Linked DNA regions of Mus musculus: region 1 is reported to be linked to region 2. Evidence: microRNA targets listed by miRTarBase, many of them from high-throughput screens and not tested one by one. Region 2 holds a microRNA gene; the other region holds the end of a gene's coding sequence. Distances are from middle to middle.
Evidence for each region. The annotated mature microRNA mmu-miR-466i-5p reads UGUGUGUGUGUGUGUGUGUG and lies in region 2 at 1,651-1,670, shown strand. An mRNA with a match to its seed (bases 2 to 7 or 8) in the 3' UTR can be bound and repressed. Matches are read on the target gene's strand: a 7mer-m8 pairs with bases 2 to 8, a 7mer-A1 pairs with bases 2 to 7 and ends in A, and an 8mer does both.

Region 1 (4,225 bases), 2.4 Mb from region 2:
ATTCGGGGGAGGACCATATAGAGGTAGCTAAGGATGATCAGCCCTTTTGAGTGCATGTGTGGAGGGGTCACTGCTACCCAGTCTCTCGTCCTCCAGGCAGGCACAAGGGACAATACTGAAACTTTCTGCTGTATTCCCCCAAGGAGCAGGGAATGGCAGTCGTGAGGATCAGTCACTGGCGAAAGGTTGGGTCTGGAGGACAGCTGGATCTACAGTGCGAACAGTCTGACTGTTGGCAGATGTGAGAGCAGGCTGGGCCAGAGTGCCTGGGCCGGGAAGAAGAAGTGCTATCTTAGTTTCTCTTCCTGTTGATGGGATAAAATATTCTGACAAAAGCATCAGCTGGGAGAGAGGGTTTTTATTTTTTGTTTTTTTCCTAGCTCACACTTTAAGCATGTCACGGCAGGGAAGTCAAGGCAACAGGAGAGTGTCTCAGGGTTTTACTGCAGTGAACAGATACCATGACCAAGGCAACTCTTACAAAGACAACATTTTATTGGGGCTGACTTACAGGTTCAGAGGGCCAGTCCATTATTTTCGTTTGTTTTGTTTTTTTGTTTTTGAGACAGGACACAAAAAGCACATGTTACCTTAAATGAGCTGTAGTAAATCGGGGTAACAGCTGTGTGGGGAGCTACACAGAGAGAGAAACAGTGGCAAAGGCTACCTCCAGAGACTCGGGTGACTCTGGAGCCAGTAGGGCCATGCATGGCCAGCCTCAGAAAACCTCCAGTGAGATGAAAGTGGGACCTAGCACAGACTGCTCCCGGGCTAGGACTCTAGAGGAGTTTAGCTCTAGGGCAGGAAGCCAGTCCTGAAGTGAGTCTGGGCAGAGAAGGGAGAAAGGCCCATAGAATGGGGCAGGGAGGGGGATGGGCTCCTGAGTGAGGTAAGGACTTAAGCTGCCTCCTCTGAGGGCTCACAGATTGCTAAGGCACCCTTCTCCCAAGTCCTGAGTTGCCCATCTCTATAGGCACCCACTCCTGTGCCCGGGCTGCCCACCCAGCCTACCCCAGCTAAGGGAGAAGCACTTGGCAAAGGGAGTCCGTGTCCTTGTCCTCATGGTTTTTAACTTTCAGCCAAAAGATCAATAACTTTGCCTAAGTGTCTTTGAACCTCTAGACCCCTATGAGCGACAGTGGGAGAGAGAAAAGGGCTGGGGAGGAGCTGGAAGGACAGAGATTCCCGAGGAGGGAGATTGTTGCTAATGATTTATTAGCCAGACAAGGACCAACAAACAAATCCTAACATCTGTTCTCACCAAAACATTTCTCAGACAACAGCAGCCATTGGATCGGGGCCCAGATGCGAAGGCTCAGAGTGCCAAGGCTTCCTAAAGTCCAGTTTCTTCAGGAGGAAAAACCAGGGCACAGGAGGCAGGATGGCTTCCCTAGTACATACAGTTCCTTGCCTTGGTTCCTGGTGACTTTCAGAAGGGAGCAGTGTGAGTGTCTGTGTGTGTGTGTGTATGCAAGTATGCATGTGTGTGTGTATGTGTTTATGTGTGTGTATGCATGTATGTGTGTATGTGCATGTGTGTGTGTATGCAAGCATGTGTGTGTATTCGTGTGTGTATGTGTGTGTGTGTATGCATGCATGTGTGTGTGTGTGTGTGTGTGTGTGTGTGTGTGTGTGTGTGTGTGTGTGGTGTGTGTGTTGCTATGAGGAAGCACAGATCCCACATTTGGTCCTCTGACTTCCAGGCTGCTTTGGAGCAAGGAAGGCAGACTTGTTAAGGGGACAGGGAAAGGTGGAGTGCAGGGAGGTCCCAGTGCAGAACTCTGGAGAGCAACCAGCTTCTTAGCTGAGGAAATCTCTCTGTCCCTTGTGGAGAAGTGAGGATTCAGAGGACGGATGGGGAATGCTGAGAGGGGTTTCAATCCTTGACCTTGGCCCAGGCTTTCTCCTTCTCTGGCTTGTTTCTTGATTTGCATAATGAGAGGACTGGACTTAATTGATAGGAGAGAAAGAAACGCTGCTCACCCTTCCCGCACCCACAGCAGACGCCACTCATCCGTCACCTGCTCCTTTCTGCTGAGCTTAGATCTGACCTTAATATCCTTCCAATGCTGCATGCCAGGCAGCCGAGACCAATGGATTGGAGCTGGCACGCGGGGTGACACCTCCTCGCCATCCGTGTAGCAGATGAAGCTCTGCTCACCTGTAGTCTATCCCACCTGCCTTCCCTAAGAGAGGACCCAGGGGTCTGTGAAGGTCTCAGGACACAAAATGCCCCAAGCTACCCTCCCAGATCAGACTTACCCCTAATAAGGCCTGATGGGGAGCCATGAGTGCTCTCTGTCTAGAAAGGGCAAGCCTCTAGGGCCAGGGGGGCTCATGATGAAGGACAGGGTCTTACTCTGCCACACAGTCCTCAGAATGCAGCTCTGGACCATCTGTCCTCTGCAGACAGAAGGACAGCTCTGGGTCATACCCTCTGCCTCTTTGGCAGAGCTACAGTCTCTAGGAGAAGGTATATGGTCTTAACCCTTTGGCCTCCAGAGGGGATTTAGGTTCCCGTCCATCCCTCTGCCTCTCCTCTTCTCCCTTCCCCCTCCCTCCCTGAGGCAGTTGCTTCATGCCAAGCACTGGGCCAGTACTTTAGAGATAGCTGAGCATCCCCCAGGGCTGCCTCTAGTGAATCAGGCTCTGCAGGAAGGGGAGATAGAAGAAAAAAAGAGCAATGGGAGTCTGGGCTGAGCAGGGGCCTGGCAAGGGTGTGTTGGGAGGTCAGGCCAGGGAAGGCTTTGCAAGGGGAAGGGCTTGTGGTCTTGAGTGGGGTTAAGGGTTGCCAGGCAGCAGGAGGGCGGTCTTGTAGGGATTGCTGTGGGCAGGACTGACTTGGTAGCCTTTGGTGAGTTTGGAGAAATATGGTGTGGGTGCTTGAAGTGGGGCTGACGAAGTGGGACCTCGCCTCAGTATGGAAGAGCTGGAGGACCAGGCAGCTGACTCACAGAGCCCATTTTGGCTTCCTCGGGGAAGAACAGGTCAGAGCTGACAAGCCTGGTACTAGGAAGGCAGTTAAGCCACTCAGTGAAATCATGGTGTGGCTCAGACATAGAGTGCTTGTCTAGCACGTACCAAGCCCCAAGTTTGATCCCACATACTGTAGGAGCACACAGTGGTAATTCCAGAACTTGGGAGGTAGAGGCAACTGACATTATTGACAGACAGAGACTGAAGCAAAGGGGATGGAGATGTTTAGGGACCCCACATTTCTGGCTGGATAGCTGGGTGCTGGGGGTTAATCAATCAGGGTGTGGAACACAGGACACTGTGCGTGGTGCATGTGTGTGTGTGTGTGTGCGCGCGCGCGCTCATGCGCGCGCCCACACAGGGTGCGAGTGAGGTTGGTTCAATTGATGTTGGAGTGGCTTTGGAACCCTGGCAGAGCCTGGATGGACCCAGGGTTAAGAAGGCTGGTAGGGTACAGGTGAGCTGGGCTGGTGAGGGCCAAGCAGGGACCTTTGGTGGCAGCAGAGAGGAAGCCTGAAGTAGGACCTGACGCAGGTACAAGGGAAAGAGTCTGACTCCTTTAATAGTAATACCACATTCAGACATGACTGAAACTCTGTGGGGAAACTGTGAGGGTGAGCACACAGTGTGGCAGCCTCCTCCTCTGAGCCCACTGGCAGTGACGCTCTCCAGGGAGCTGGGTCAGTGTCACATGTGTGTGAGGAAGGCCTGACCAATGAGAGGCAGCCTGGGATGGAGAGTGGTTGAAGGAAACCTGAAGTAGGGGCAGGTAGGGCTTGACAAAGCTGAGTCCACGTGAATGTCCAGGAAGAGCCTTAGGCCTGGAGCTGGGCAAAGGTTTTCGGCAGCGTGGAACACTCCATCTCGCTTCAGCCTGCTGACCTTCACCTTGCCCGATATTCAGGAGGGGCTCCCTCTTTCTGCTCGACTCCTTGAGCTTATCTTTCCCTGTACCTCCCTTACCTGGCCTCTTGAGATAGGCCTGGACCAGCACTTTCGGAGGATGGGGTGTCCAATGGGCGCCGTTCCCGATGGCCCTTCCACCTCAGCATAGATATTACTAGGAGCGTCCCCAGGGCTGCCCCGCCCCATGGCATAGAAGGCTATGGGTTCATCAGGCTCCTGGTAGATGGGGTTAATGGGTGGGGCCTGATGCAGTCGTGAAGCAGGACTTGTATAGACTTCAGGAGGAAGCTGAGGCTTGGCGGGGATGGGCGGCCTGGGTCTGGATGCCTGGGATGTCTAGGGG
Region 2 (4,225 bases):
CACCCACTGTCTGTGGAACAGCTTGAGGCTGACAAGATTAGCTCGCTGGAACGCTCTGGGATCCGTTCAGCCTAAGCTGCTGCCCACACACCAGCCTTGCTCACAGAAGCTGCTTTCCGCAAGCAGCAGCCCGCTTCACCTCCTCCATCCTGGCTCGTGGAACTGGTCCTTGATGTCCTACCTGGTCTTGAGGACAGTGGCTTCCAGCCTCAACCAGTCCTCATTCCCAGATTCCAGGATGTGACCATGGTGATGTCTCAGCCTCTCCAGAGGAGTCCGAAGGGTGATACTTCTGTCCTTCCTCCTCCCATGTCTAATCACCTGATTTTACAGAACCCAGCATAGCGAGCAGTGCTGCAAGCTTCCTTCCCCTCCCTCGGCTCTCTTCTTCTGTCCCTTCTTTCTGTAATATCCAAGGGGACCAGACAGAGTGGGCCTTGATAACACACATTCCCTTGGCTCCAGAGCAGTAGCTTCTAAAACCTGTAAATAAGACAGCTCTATGCCCCTGTGTAGACATACACCCCAAGGATAGGCTGGCTCCCTGGTACCTGTCCAGAGTTGAGAGTTCAAAAGACAGACCAGTGGATAGAAATGCTATCATGCCCACCCACCCCCACCCCGCCAAGCAAGGCCTGCTGGCTCATGTACCTGGCCAGACATTACATGAGCAACGGGCAGTAATTGTTGTCTAATCTCTTCCCAGAGGTTTCAACTAGTTCCAAACTGTTGTGGCTAATAAAAACAGAGAAGATTTGCAAGAAATTCCAGGTGCATCGGAACACTTTGGGGGATTGTGCAGCCTGCAGGCAGACGAAACTTAACTCAAATAAACATAAGGTAATATGTGTTGGCAAAAGTAACCTGAAGTGGGAGTATACAACTGTACGTTTCAAATTGGCTGCTGCCTGTAAGGATGGAGATTGGTAGTAGCTCAGAATGGATGAAGTGGGCAGAGTAGCCAATGTGCATCCCAGAATAACCGAGGCAAATCAGATCTCATCTCACACAGACCCCATCAGTGGCCCAAGATGGAGCACATGACAGATTCCGCAGTCCCACTTTCTACTTTAAGGATGAGGAGACATCGTGGAGTGGCCTCCAGATTTAGGGGTCTCCTGTGAGCCAGGAATGTGTGGTCATGTTCTCAATGGAGCGAGTAAAAGAAAGTGTCTGTTTTTGTTCATTGAAGTCATTGACTCCAAGCCCTGGAAGCTGCCATGTTACCTCCATCTGCTGCCTAACTCTCAGGGCCACATTTAGATAAAGAGCCGAACTTCTGAACTGCAACAGCCCTGGACTTCAGTCAATTCCCTACTTTCTTACAGAAAAGAAAATATTGAAAAGCTGTATTATGGTGTCTTATATGAATGTGCTAGTTTCCAGGATGGGAGGGGCTGTATATTCACCTATATTCACACACATATACATGTGTGCATGTGATATACATTCATGTACACCCTCCTATAGAAATAAGTGTATGTGTGTGTGTGCATGCATATGTGTATATGTGTATGTATGTGTGTGCATATACACATGGGTGTGCATGTGCATGAGTGCATGTACGTGTATATGCATGTTCTCTATTGATATGTGTGTGTGTGTGTGTGTGTGTGTGTGTGTGTGTGCAGGTGTGTATATACATATATATGTGTGTGTGTGTGTGTGTGTGTACATGTACATGTGAGTATGTGTGTGTATATGTTTGTACATGTGCATGTGTGTGAGTATGTGAATATATGTGTATATGTGTGCATGTGCATGTGTGTGTATGGTGAGTAGGTGTTACTAATTGTGACTCCGATGGCTGTGTCTCCATCTGGCCTAGGTGACAGGTAAGCAACTGCACTGATCTTTCACAGGTAGCAGCAGCCTTATAGGGCAGGAGAAGACTGGCACCTCTGCACTGGCCGTGACCTTACCTGCAAGCCCCCGAGGAACAGGAGCTTTTTTACTCCTCCATCTTCTGGCTTCCCAAGCAGGTGCTGATATCTTGACAGGGAAGGGGAAATGCTCTGTCCTGGCCCTCTTGCCTCACAGAACTAAAAGCTAAACATGGCTTCAACTACCTCAGCGGCTTTCTTCTCCCACAACCACATGCAGTAGAGAGGCCCAGCGCTGCAGAATACATCTGTGATAGGAGAGGAGAGCTTGGATCTGGAATGTTCTAGAAAGTGATGGAATAATTTGAAATCCAAACTGTCTAAAGGCTGAAGAAGAAAGGAAGCCATTGCCACCTGCAGGAAGCAGCCAGGTCCTTTTGACCTCTCAAAGTTCTTGGCTGTGAGGTTCCATCATTCAGCTGATAAAACAGAGGAACAAATGTTACACAGGGAAGTTCACAGGAAAAGGGTCAGTACAGAGTGTGCAGAGCTTCTGGTGGTATAAAAGCCAGTCACTGAAAACTAGGGACATGTCCTCAGTCCTTGAGACCTGAAGTCATCTCTTCTCTTCTAAGCATCCATTATACCCAGGATTCCACAGCCCTAGGCCTTCTGGAAACAAACTTCATTTCCCCAAAAATTGTCTGCTACCCTAATGCCACCGGAACAAGTTTTTTAGCTCTTGGGTTATAGCTCAATGATGAAACACTTGCCCAGCATATACAAGACCCCAGATTCCACCTCCAACAACAACACAAAGCACGCCAGTACATCTCAGCCTGTGCAGAGGCTCAAATTTCGAAGGAAATAGGAAATAGATTCATTCATTCATTTAGTGACTCTTTCTCTTCTGCTGTGTATGAGACGCTGTGTTAGGCAACACCAGAAATAAGGTAAAGATTTAGCAGGTGACCACAAACGAGAAAGTGCAGTGCGTTCTCCACTTTAATCAGAGCAAGCCAGCAAATAAAATGTTCTAGGCAGTTTGTCTTGGCACCAGCCACAGGAATTTACCTGTGACATCCTAATAAAGAGGACACTGAGACATGACATCCACAAGGACTTGATTGGCTCTCCTGGAGCTGATTGTGCACACCAACCCCCAGGAAATAAGGCCAGGAGGTCTGTGGTGAAGCCTGAGTGTCCACGGTCCAACTGGGTCCTGGGTAACGTGGAAGCTGTTGTGAGTCTTGTCCTCAGAGACATGTATATAGAAAGACTCTAGTTCACCTCACTCTACTGAGCTGCATCTTAGGAAGGGCAATTAAATCCTAGCTATCACCCTGCAGCTGACAGGGCACACACACACTGCCAGCTCTCAACTAACTGGTCACACCCAGGGTATTTTCAGGCTATTATTATTATTATTATTATTATTATTGTATCTCAGAATATTTATATGAATAGCAGAGGAAAAAATATTTATTTACTTCCTTTTAAACATTTTTTTTTCTAAGTCTAACTTTTCATATTGTTGGGAGGCTACAAACTCAAGATTGTTTCCAAGGGATACCTGGAAAGCTAGGATGTCACCAGAATGTAGGACCATCTGCTACAGCAGATACTACTTCCTCCCTTGAGCTGAGAGACTTGGAAAGATTGACCCCAATTAAGAAGATGGGGGAGCAGGCAGGATGAGGAGGGAAGGAGGGAGGTTTTAGATAATGCGATGGTGTATCTAAAGCCACTGATTCGGGAAGAAACAGAGAGAGAGAGAGAGAGAGCACACCAGATCCAGCTGGCCTCTAGCTCTCTTTCCCTCCACCCAGACTGATATGTGTGAGCTGTCCTCTCTCCTCCTCCAGTTGTCTGCACAATGCCACCGCTCAGGTCACCCCATGTCACTGTTTCCTTCTGCCCTTGCCAGGGCCCACTGTCTCGCTAGTTCATTTCACTGCATTTAGCACCGACAGTGACCCACAGAAGAAAATACAGTAGAGGACACAGCCAATACGAAGCCCCAAGGCAGGAACAGCTGCTATCATGTAATCAGTAAGGGCAAGAGGATCCAAAAACAAGCCATTAGAGAGAATGCCACGAGGTGGGCCCTCGAGAGTGCTTTGGAGTCTGTACCAGTCATCAGTTGCTGCATGGCAACCACAAACATCCAGTAGTGCCCACCAAGAAGCCTGTTGTTTCCACTGCCCAGTAGTGCATGGATAAGGGCAGCTGACCTTCACAGCCTCGGTCCGGGGCCTGAGAGCAGAGTAGGAGGAGCAGTTTACAATAGCAGCACCCGAGGCCAGCAAACCCAATGGCATAGGCGCCTGCCAATCTTCCATAGGGGTCAAGACCACGCCCATCCTGTGTGGTGACTAAGTCAAGGTCAAGCAGCAGACAGT

Region 1: miRTarBase lists Sh2d2a as a target of mmu-miR-466i-5p. Seed matches in the 3' UTR shown: 8mer at 3,669-3,676, 8mer at 3,299-3,306, 8mer at 3,297-3,304, 8mer at 3,295-3,302, 8mer at 3,293-3,300, 8mer at 3,291-3,298 and 48 more.

What each region holds. Positions count from the first base shown.
Region 1 is chr3:87,852,060-87,856,284 of GRCm38, reverse strand. It overlaps Sh2d2a (SH2 domain containing 2A), which reads right to left. Exons shown (of 7, transcript NM_021309.3): 7 at 563-4,218. The coding sequence ends at 3,877. Among named protein-coding and RNA genes, the nearest start is that of Sh2d2a, 7.4 kb to the right of the region's middle.
Region 2 is chr3:85,465,732-85,469,956 of GRCm38, forward strand. It overlaps Mir466k (microRNA 466k), which reads left to right and starts at 1,646; the gene lies at 1,646-1,767. The region is part of intron 1 of Gm31419 (a long non-coding RNA gene); the gene reads right to left.